2 linked regions of the Caenorhabditis elegans genome follow. The protein of the gene in region 1 purifies or fractionates together with the protein of each later gene. This does not show direct contact. Each region holds a gene or a part of one and is shown in the gene's direction. Other genes may lie near its edges.

The links. The genes of interacting proteins can lie anywhere in the genome.
Region 2: the proteins of cdk-2 (region 1) and Y51H7C.3 fractionate together in Caenorhabditis elegans (co-fractionation; one large-scale study listed by BioGRID). This does not show direct contact.

What each region holds. Positions count from the first base shown.
Region 1 is NC_003279.8:3,408,030-3,416,038, forward strand, and holds the start of cdk-2 (Cyclin-dependent kinase 2), read left to right. Parts: upstream 1-1,983; 5' UTR 1,984-1,995; coding exon 1,996-2,017; intron 2,018-2,093; coding exon 2,094-2,321; exon of another isoform or gene 2,322-3,366; coding exon 3,367-3,604; intron 3,605-4,982; exon of another isoform or gene 4,983-4,984; coding exon 4,985-5,051; intron 5,052-5,116; coding exon 5,117-5,275; intron 5,276-6,685; coding exon 6,686-6,943; intron 6,944-6,996; coding exon 6,997-7,041; 3' UTR 7,042-8,009. UniProt on the Caenorhabditis elegans protein: Serine/threonine-protein kinase which, in association with cye-1, regulates proliferation, quiescent state and cell fate during the development of several cell lineages.
Region 2 is NC_003280.10:1,436,986-1,440,237, forward strand, and holds Y51H7C.3 (Lzipper-MIP1 domain-containing protein), read left to right. Parts: upstream 1-1,504; 5' UTR 1,505-1,524; coding exon 1,525-1,558; intron 1,559-2,130; coding exon 2,131-2,237; intron 2,238-2,284; coding exon 2,285-2,386; intron 2,387-2,435; coding exon 2,436-2,618; 3' UTR 2,619-2,712; downstream 2,713-3,252. Other genes in the region: nol-6 (Nucleolar protein 6), read right to left, coding at 1-250, 299-409, 462-512; Y51H7C.12 (Nucleotide-diphospho-sugar transferase domain-containing protein), read right to left, coding at 3,081-3,237.

The sequences.
Region 1 (8,009 bases):
AAAATGAGCCGAGAGATTCGGTCACTCGAATCCATCATCTCGGACGCTCGAGAAAACACACACGAAAAAATGCTCATCAGGTGTTACAAGTTCTTTGTGCAATCAGGCGTCTGTGTCCAATATTCTTAGAGGGGGTAAAAGTGTGTGTAAAGTAACGGGAGCAACAAAAAAAATCCATAAAATCAGGAGAAATTACAAGAAGAAATGCATGAATGTAGACCGGCGAGTGTGGAGAAAAATGAAAAACGAGGAGAAGTGGAGAGGGAGACATCTGGAAATTGCCGATTTTAATTGAAAATTCGGAGGAAAAATGAAAAAAGTTGAAAGAAAGTGCATTTTTTCATTCAAATTTTGACTTAAAATTGCGATCTTGGGTCTTGAAACGAAAGAAAGTTTTCCGTTACCGTAACCCGTTCTACTAAAGGGGCACGGGTCTCGCCGCGATGAAAAGTTATGGTAGCTTTTTTTCAGAATTTTTGGGATTCTCTTGATTTTAAATGATTTTTTAAAAGTTTTTTTCAATAGATATTTTCAAAAAACTACCAAAAACTACCAATACGTGAACACAAAATTCTGAGAATGCATCCTGCACAACATATTTGACGCGCAAAATATCAAAACTACAGTAATTCTTTAAATGACTACTGTAGTGCTTGTGTCGATTTACGCGAGCGATTTTTGAAATGAAACTTAATTTTAATACTCTATCGTTGAATAAAAAAATATTTTAATTCATTTCAAAAAATCGAGCCCTTAAATCGACCAACAGTAGTCATTTAAAAAGGATTACTGTAGTTTTCGCTACGAGATATTTTGCGCGTCAAATATGTTGTGCAATACGCATTCTCAGAATATTGTGCTACTGTAATATATTTGTGTTTCTTATTCAGAAAAAACCAATATTATTAAATTTTCGAATGCATTTTTTTAACTAAGAATTATTCAAAAAACATGCCTAAATTCTAAAAATAGAAAAAAATCCGCAGCAATGAAAGTTTGAAATTACAGTATTCTTTAAAGGCGCGCACCCGTTTGCATTTCACTAAAATTTGTCGCGTCGAGACCAGGTAGTGTGTTTTTTTGCGAAAAATCGCTAAATTGCCCGTAATAGTAGTAGTAATTCGATCGTACCAGGACCCCATTTTAACTTGAATTTACTCGAGAAAATAGGAGTCTAAGCCTGAAAAAAAAACAAATAAATACATTCAATATATATATACACAAAATCTTAGAAAGCTGTTCTTTCGAAAAGACGGCGCGGTTAATTGAGAGTTTCCGAATGCGTCCAGATGCAAAATAATTGGATGTTGGAGATTTATTGACTTCCTTTTTTGTTTTTTTATTCCCCATTTCGAGGGGGGAGAAGAAAGTCAATAAACTGCGTTTATAGAATTCTCGTTTTAATATTAAAATTTAATGTCGAAAATAATTAGATTTTTATTCCAAAATCGCCTTTAATTTAACGACAAATAAATATATTCCAGAATATCCTTTGGAATTTGAATTCCCTCGGTTTTTCGCAGAGAAGGATTATCAGTGGAGCGTGATTGCGGCAATTCCTAAAAACAATTTTTAATTTGGTTCGCAGAGGCGTTAAAACGTTTTTTTAGCGATTATTAAGCCTAGGAAAGTATATAATTTTAAGAATTTTAAGTTTTTCATCAAATAATTATTGAAATTTAATTTTTTTTTTCATATTTTTAAATGATCACTACGGGTTTCCCTGTTCAAAAGTGTTTTTTTTTAATTAAAAAAAATTGTTAAATGTATCGATTCTTGTGCAATTTTATTTAATACCGCGTCCTTTCCTTACCACATTACACCGGTCACCCCCCGTAGACCGTCTCATTTGCCCTTTTGTCTAACCTGCTGCGTCTCTTGTTCTTTTTCGTGTAGCGCGGGAAAACAGAATTCAAAACCCGTCATTCTTTGAGAAACTCTTTACCGTTAAATCCTTTTTGAAAATCTTAATTATCTTCCAGAAAACAACGGGATATGACAACCGATATCGCTCCAGGTAAGCTTTTTTCCGAGATTTTCATTTTTTCAATATTTAATAAAAAATAAATAATTAAAATAATTTCCCATTTCAGAAAGAGACCTGCAAGGTCGCTTTTGCTCACTCCGGCGAATCGGCGAAGGAACGTACGGAGTCGTGTTCAAGGCGATCCACGTGCGTGACAACGTGAAATGCGCTCTCAAAATGATTCGCACCGATCGCGACGAGGAAGGCATTCCGAGCACGTGCCTTCGTGAAATTTCGTGTATAAAAGACCTTCAGCACGATAATATTGTGACACTTTTCGATATTATCTACGCAAGTGAGGCTTTTTTTGCTGATTAATTTGAAATTTGAAGTTTCAAATTTTAAATTTTAAAAAATTCATGAGACTCATAATACTGGAAAATCGGTGTGAAAATTGCTAAAAATTGATAAAAAGATATAAAAATTTTGGTTCAATCTGTAAGTAATATTTTTTTTGCGGAAAAGTTCGAAAAATCCCCTTTTTTAAGGTATTTTTCTAGGATTTCTAAAAATAAATGTTATTTTCAGATTGAACGACCTTACATTTTATGTTATTTTTTGATTATTCAAGTGAAAAAAATCGAAAAATTGAGAAAAAAGTAGAAAATCCCCTAGATTTATGAAAAATATGTTGATTTTGATGAGAAAAAAAGAATTTGTGGCCAAAATATTAGAGAAATGGCTGAAAATGCGATTTTTTCCCACAAAAAATCGAAAAACTACTAAAATGTTAAAATTGGTGTAGTCGAATTTTTAAAATTGCTTTATTAGACTCAAAATTGTCTGAAAAACCGAATTTCATACTGCTTGAAAACTTCTCAAAAAAAATGTTATGACGGCTCAAAAAAATGGCCTAAAATTCGTTAAAATTTGAAATTTGACCGATTTGCCAAGCGGTTGGAAACTATTTTTTTTTTGAAATCACCGTCAAATTTTGAGCATACGATGTAATTATCTTGCATTTTCAACTCGATTTAGGTATTTTAAAGTCGATGGACTGCGAGATTTGATTTTAAAAATTAAAAAATCTTTTCTCACCGTCCATCGACTTTAAAATACCTAAATCGAGCTGAAAACGCAAGATAATTACATTGTATACTCAAAATTTGACGGTGATTTCAAAAAAGTTAGTTTCTAGCCGCTTGACAAGTCGGGCAAATTTCAAATTTTAACTAATTTCAGGCCATTTTTTGAACTATAATAACATTTTTTTTGAGAAGTTTTCAAGCAGTATGAAATTCAGTGTTTTTAGGCAATTTTGGGTCTAATAAAGCAATAAAAAATTCGACTACACCACCTTTAAGTTTTAAATTTAAAACAATTAATTAATCAATTTCCAGACAGCAAACTCTACATGGTATTCGAATTTATCGATCGAGATCTGAAGAATCTTCTGGAAATGCTTGAGCCAACGAATAGTGTGCTTCCGCCAAACTATGTGAAGTCATTCATGTGGCAACTTCTATCAGCTCTATCGTATTGTCATCTCCGACGGATTGTTCACCGTGATCTGAAGCCTCAGAATATTCTGGTTTCAGATTCTGGAGTCATCAAAATTGCGGATTTCGGATTGGCAAGGTCAAAAAATGTTCTATAGATGTTATTTATGCTGCTGATACCGAATATTTTGATTTGAAAAAAAATTTTTTTTTTAAATTTCCTTTTATTATTTTTCAGGGAGGGTAGAGTTTTTGGGTATTTTGCTTAAATAGACTAAAACCGGTCCAAAACCAAAATTTTTTTATGACCGGTCAAAATTTCGAAAAAAAGAGCCAAATTTTGCTAAAATCTGAAATTTCGCACACTTTTCTTTGTCACAGCCGCTGGATTTTAGTTTTTCTGAAATTATCACCCTTCAATCCTTATTTTGGTAGATTATCTCGCGGAAATTCGTTTATTGAAACACATTTTGAGTCGATAGGCATCCAATTTTGATCATTTTTGGATGCCTATAGGTCTAAAAATTGTCTCAATCAACCAATTTCCGCGAGATAATCTACCAAAATAAGGATTAAAGGATGATAATTTTAGAAAAACTAGAATCCAGCGGCTGTGACAAAGAAAAGTGTGCGAAATTTCAAATTTTCGATTTTAGCAAAATTTGCCTCCTTTTTTTTCGAAATTCTGACCCGCCATAAAAAATTTTTGGAATTTTTTTGTGAAGTCTCTTTATGAAATTCGGTGGTTTTGGACCAGTTTTAGTATATTTAAGCAAAATACACACAAACTCTACTCCCCATTTAATTTATTAAAATCCAAAAATTCACCTATACACGTGTATTCAGCTCGACCAACGCATCGAAAATTTTCGAAAAAGGCGTGAAAACATATTTGAATTCGCCAAGAGGAATTTCACCGCAGCGCATGCAAAAATGTCTGCATTTGCGCGAGACGGTGTTTGCACAAATTACACCGAATGGTCGAGCTGAAAACACGTGCTATAGTGTTAACTTCAAACGAAAATATTTGGAAGATAACCGTGCCGCAGGTGTGGATTTACGAGATTCATATTTTTCATCCATTTGTATCTGATTTTCACCGCGATTTTTCTGATTTTCCGATGTTTTACATTGAAATTCTGGTGATTTCCACTAATGTATGATTTTTTTATTAATTAAAACAACCAAAATTTTTACATTTTATTTCCTTTCATTAGTAAAAATTGAAAAATTAATGAAAATCACAAGATTTTCAATGTAAAACAACAAAAAAAAATGAAAATCGGGAAATTTGGTATGGACATTTTATAAAAATAGATGAAAAATATTAATCTCGTAAATCCACACGATTATCATGCAAAATGTGTCGTTTGAATCTAACACTAGGTGGATTTTCGGATTTTCAAAAATTAATATAAAATCAGGGATTTTTTTTTGAATTTTTCACATTTATATTCGGTATCAGGAAAATTTTAATAAGGGGTTTGAATTTCCTAATCAAATTTTTTGTTAATTCCAGAAATTTCTCGTTCCCCAGTCGAAACTATACTCACGAGGTGGTAACTCTTTGGTATCGTCCGCCAGAGGTATTTTCAACATTCTGAAATTATTTTATTCAATTATTTAATTTTATTTAAAATAATATTTCCAGATTCTGCTCGGCTCGCAACGTTATTCAACATCACTGGATATGTGGTCGCTGGGATGTATATTCTCCGAAATTGCATCGAATAAGCCTCTGTTTCCAGGCGAATGCGAGATTTCACAGCTATTCAAGATATTTGAAATTGTTGGAACACCAAATATTAAGGTTTATACCGATTTGGAGAGGAAAATTCGAATTTAGAGTCCCAGAAGTACACTGTGAATAATTTGTGTTTAGAAAAACTGAAAATCTCTGAAAATATTCGATTTATGAGATTTAATTTTGAAAATAATTCATCACATTTCAATATCACTCATATGCGATATTTTGGCGATTTTAAATACGGCACAGGGTCTCGAAACGAGTGGTTTTGTGAAATGTGAAAACGTGTGCGCCTTTGAGGAGTACTGTATTTCTCAACTCCTGGGTTTTGCAGAATTTTTAAATATGGGATTTCGAGAGAAGCGCGAGATGAACTTTAAAAATCTAAAAAAATTTTTTTTTTCAGAAATCTTTCGCCTCCCCGAAATTTAGTGAAAAACTGAATTAAACCATAGAATACGTTTTTTCCGATTTTCAACAAAAAAATCGAGTATTCGGAAACGAAAAATAGTTTAAAATTTTGGACTTTTTCTTCGTTTTAGAGGAAAATAATCGAAATTTAGGTTTTATATCTTCAAATTTCGCGATTTTTGTTCCACTGAAATAATGTTTTTTTTTAATAATAAAATACAAATATATTACGAGAACATAAAATTCTGAAAATGCGTATTTCGCAACCTATTTGACGCGCAAAATATCTCGTAGCGAAAACTATAGTAATTCTTTAAATGACTACTGTAGCGCTTGTGTCGATTTACGGGCTCGATTTTTAAAATGAATTAAAATAATTTATTAATTTAAATAACGATAGAATATTAAAATTAAGTTTCATTTCAAAAATCGAGTTCCCGTAAATCGACACAAGCCCTACAGTAGTGGTTTAAAGAGTTACTGTAGTTTTCGCTACGAGATATTTTGTCAAATATGTTGCTCAATGTACGCATTCTCAGAATTCTGTGTTACCGTAATATATTTGTGTTTTATTATTTCAAAAAAAAAAAACAAAAATGGCGAAGTGTGAAAATATTATTCGGAAAATTGAATTGTTTTTCTTCCAAAAAAAAACATAAATTTCGATTATTTTCCTTTAAAAAGAAGAAAAAGTCCAAAATTTTCAACTCTTTTTGAAAAGATTTTTTTGTTGAAAAATCGGGAAAAAAAGCGTTTTATTTGAAAAATTAAATTTTCTCGAATACACTCTACACGGATTTCTGGCTTTCCTCATAAATTGAAATGGAAGAGTTTGCCGAACTAGACCATTTTGGCTCGGCCATATCTCGGGTAGATTTACGGTGCGTTGCGTGTCGCGTCGCAGCTCGATTTTAGTTGTAAAACTAAATGTATTTGTCCGTGTGAAGTACACGACTTTCCCACGGTGATTGTCGATGGAGCGCGAAAAATTTAATGAGGAAGGCCAGAACCCCGTGACTTTAAATTATTCAAAAAACTTTTAAATTCGAATAATTTTTGCAGAGCTGGCCAGGCGTCGACTCGTTTCCCCACTACAAGGCAGTCTTTCCACAGTGGCCGGTGAATTTGAAGAAGCTCGAAGAAACATCATGCCTGACTGGAAATGGTCTTGACGTGCTTCGTGAGATACTTCGTTATCCACCGGAGCGACGTCTCACCGCGAAAGGTGCTCTCTCTCATCGCTACTTTCTACAGAACGGTTTCACCCAAAACCGGCCGAGTGTCACTGATTTGATGAAGGATATCCGAGCGCAGAACAGGGTAAAGTTACTGGAATATTTGGATATTTTTTTAATGAAAAAAAATTATTTCAGACGCCACCGCTGCTGAACAATCATCAGGAGAAGTCAATCTTCTAATATATCATGTCCTCCATAACCTAAACATCGTGTACTATGTCCTCTCTTTTTACCGAGTCTTTCCTCTTCAAGGGTGTCATCGAACGAAATTATCGATTTTTTTGGGTTTTTTCAGAGAAATTCAAAAAAATCGAAAAAAAAAGCGCAATTTTTTAAATCAAATTTTGTTCATGTTGATAAGAAAAACACATGAGAAAACATATATTGTTCTACTAAAAAAGAAAAAAATTGCAAAAAATTGAGCTATTTTTGAAAAATCGGAAAAAATTGTTTTATTCAAAAAATTCAATTTTTCTAGGTTTTTATCATTTTCGTGAGAAAAAAAACATATTTTTCTACTAAAAAAATTATTAATTTTTTTCGTTTATTTTAGTGAGAAAAAACGTAAGAAAACATAATTTTCTTCTGAAAAAAATTACAAAAATTGTAATATATTTTTCGACAAATCGGAAATTTTTTTTTCCAAAAATCAATTTTTTTCAAAAAATCGGGAAAAAAAGTTTTATCTAAAAAATTAAATTTTTTCCCAAATTTTGTTGAGAGAAAACAGATTTTTCAACTAAAAAATGGTCAAAATGTTCAGAATTAAAAAAAAAATTTTTTCAGAAATTTGATTATTTTAGGAAAAATTAAAGTTGAAAAAAATTATCAAATTTCGATTTTAGAGAAAATCGAGAATTTTCGCTTTTCTGATTTTTTTTTGAGAAAAATAGCTTCAAATTTTGGTAATTTTTTTCAATTTTTGAAAAAATTACATGTTTTCTTATGCTTTTTTCTGATCCAAAAACATTTTTTTTTCAATTTTTGAAATTTCTCTGAAAAACTCAAAAAAAATTCGATGTCTCCCTTGCTCTCCACCCACTCTTTCTGCTTCATCGTTCATTTTGTATCATAATTTTCCCACCTATTTTGCTCCAGACGTTTTATCGCATTATTATTTTTATTATTATTATTTTGCTCCAAGGGAA
Region 2 (3,252 bases), on another chromosome or scaffold:
GAAGCCGCGCCACGTGGCACGCGAAATGTCCCCGCTTCGCCGCGTAGGTCAAATTGAGAAAATCGCGATTTCCGAGAGCTTTTGGCGGAATTTCAATGAAAATTTGTTGCCCTTTTTCAGTGATAACGATGCTTTTCGGCGGTGTCCACTGAAATTCCGGAATACTCGACGACGTGGCATCCACAGCCTTTTGAAGATGATGCAGAGGATGTTTAACGTCGAATTCTGTCCAGAAATCGAGATTTTTGTACTGAAAATTCAAATTTTGGCCTAAAATTTCACTAATTAAAGGGAAAACCTGAATTTTCGGGCCATTCTTCGAGGTTTCCAGCACATTTTTTATTTTTTGAGCGATTTGACGCTGCTTTTCGATGAGTTTTTTGTTGGATTTTGGAGCGGTGTCTTCGCACTGAAAAATATAACAATTTTTTTGCTTGAAAATCGATTTTTTTGGGATTTACCAATAATTTGAAGGCGTTCGACATTGGGAGCACATCTCCGTCTGTCTCCATCTCTGCAAATAGAATTTATTAGTATTTTGCTCCCAAAAATCAATTTTTCAAGCTAAAACCAATTTTGAAAACCAATTTATACACTAGAAATGACAAATATTCAGTTTTTCATTTAAATTTCACAAAATTACATTCAAAAACTAGAAAAAATCATTGAAAACTCGAGATTTAAGGCTAAAATCAACAAAAAATAAAATAGAGTGTCTCTGTCGATTTACGATAAACAACACGTTACTGCGGGATTTCGGAGTGTCGTTTGCCTGCTTTCGGCGGAGTTTCAAAAGCAGAAATTGAGTGGAAAACGGGGAAAACAAGGGAAATGACAGATTAGAACACAAAAAAAGGATTTAAAATGAAAAACTGCAGAGTTTTGGGACATTTTTCAGGGAAAAACACAGATTAAGACGTGTTTAACGTCTGTTTTCGAAATAAATTTTTGAAAATAAAGTCTAAAATGTTTTTTTAACTTTGAAACGATCATATTTCTAAATTTTTAGAGCTAAAAAACAATTTTTTATGAAAAAACATGTTAAAAATCAAATTTAAAAGTTCCTACAGTACCCCTTATTGCTCGTCAATTAAAAGGCCAAGTACGCAAAAGTACGCAACCTGCCTGCTGCCGCCAAACTTTGAATTTCAAATTATTTCCCTCCAAAAAATCAATTTTCCAGTTTTCTACGAATTTTCATCAAATATTCATGAAATTTCCAATGTTATTTTTTGTTTTCTTTTCATCACAAACTCTTTCGAATTCTCTGATGAATTTTAAATTCTGTAGTTTCTTCTTCTCTCCCTCTCGCCGATTCAGCTGGAATTTATTTCTAGAAAGAAAAGCGAAAAAAGATGCGAATTCACTGAATTTATAGGCTTGTTTTTGGACCGATACGCACACACACACACACAAAGCTATCCATCATTTTAATTAATTCTTTTCGTTTCGTTCTCCATTTTCTCTCAGTTTTCTCGTTTCCGTTCATTCAAATTTGTTTCAGCAAGCTCCCGCGACGCAAAAATGAAGTTCCTGACATCAATTCTCGGCTCTGAACGTGAGTTTTACCTTAAAAACCCCAAAAATCAGATTTTTCCATTTGGTCTGCTACACTACAAACTACAAGGTTCGATTTAGCAGACCAATAGGATTGTGAAGAGATTTGGTCTGCTAGACTACAAACTACACAATTCGATTTAGCAGACCATTATCGGGAAAATCCTATTAAAACATGCATTTTCGCAATTTTTATTTAATTTTTATACTTAATCTTAATTTTAAGTGCAAAATTGATAGTTTTAAATGATTTTTTCCATTTTTTTTTGCTAAAATTCGTATAAAAATCGGTCCTTTCTTTGAAATTTAGTCGATTTTCGCTCAAATTAAATGATTTTAGACTTTTAACTAAGTTAAAAACACCTTAAAATCACTAAAACTAACATTTTCCAAATAACCGGACTTTAATATCAATGAAAAACCGCCAGAAAACTCGAAATTCAGTGGGTCTGCCAGGCTACAAACTACAAAGAATATTTAGCAGACCAGAGCGTTTTTCATTGAAAAATAGGCAATTTTCGCTTAAAATAAAGCTTTTTTGACCTAAATTTCTTCAAAATTACCCTTTTTCAGGTGATCGTGCAGCCAAAAAGCGTCGAAGTCTCGAAGTGAACCTGCACCGCCTCGAAGAGAAGGCTTTCCTCTTGGAAATGGAGCTCGAAGAGACCAGAAGACAAAAAGTTGGCTATTTTCGAGCGTTTAAGCATGATTAATTCAATTTTTTCAGGAAAAAGTGATCAAAGAGCTCCGCAACGGGCTCCCAGTTCGCCACGTGTCAACAGTCAGCGTCTCGTCGACCGATATGTCCTTCAACACGGATTCCTCGAATGTATGCACCTTTTTAAATCGATTTTCGCATTAAAAACGTTATTTTTCAGGTCACCGATCATTATTGTGGACTTCCGATCGATTCGAGCACGCCGAAGGAGACCTCTAAGAGAGATTTTCAGCAAAAACACGAGCAATATGCCGAAGAAGAGGGGGAGCGTGCAAAATGGCAAAGCTCTGCGAAACTCGGCGAGAAATCGGAAAAATCAGAGAAATCTATCGAAAAGTACTAATTTGATCTACTAATTTTTATTCGCACTTTTAATTTTCTTGTCAAATTTGTGTAAAAAGCGATTTTCAGAGTAATGAAGGCTTACAGATGACTACAAACTACATTTTTCGTGGAGTTGCAATGCAGAAGATATGGGTCTGCTAGGCTACAAACTACAAAATGATGTTTAGCAGACCAATCCAATTTCTGATAAATTTTGGTCTGCTAGACTACAAACTACAAAAAAAACATTAGCAGACCAACGAATTTCTAAAAATTTGGGTCTGCTAGACTACAAACTACAAAAAATATTTAACAGTCCCAACCAGTTTCTAATAAAATTTGGTCTGCTAGACTACAAACTACAAAATGATATTTAGCAGACCACTGCTGCTTTTTTGGCATTTTTCCACATAAATTTGGCAAAATCATGATTTTTAATAGAAATAAAACATTGTGGGACTTTAAAAACGATTTTAATAAATTAAATAATATGATAATGCGCCTTTAAATACACTTTCCGCCGTCCTGGATCCACATTGAATAGGTGTCTCAAAAAGAAGACGCCTGAGCCGAACCAGTTCTCTTCCAGGGACCAATCCTGGCGAATTAGGGATTGAAAGCTTGTTTTGATGGTTTCTCTGAAAGTCGTAACT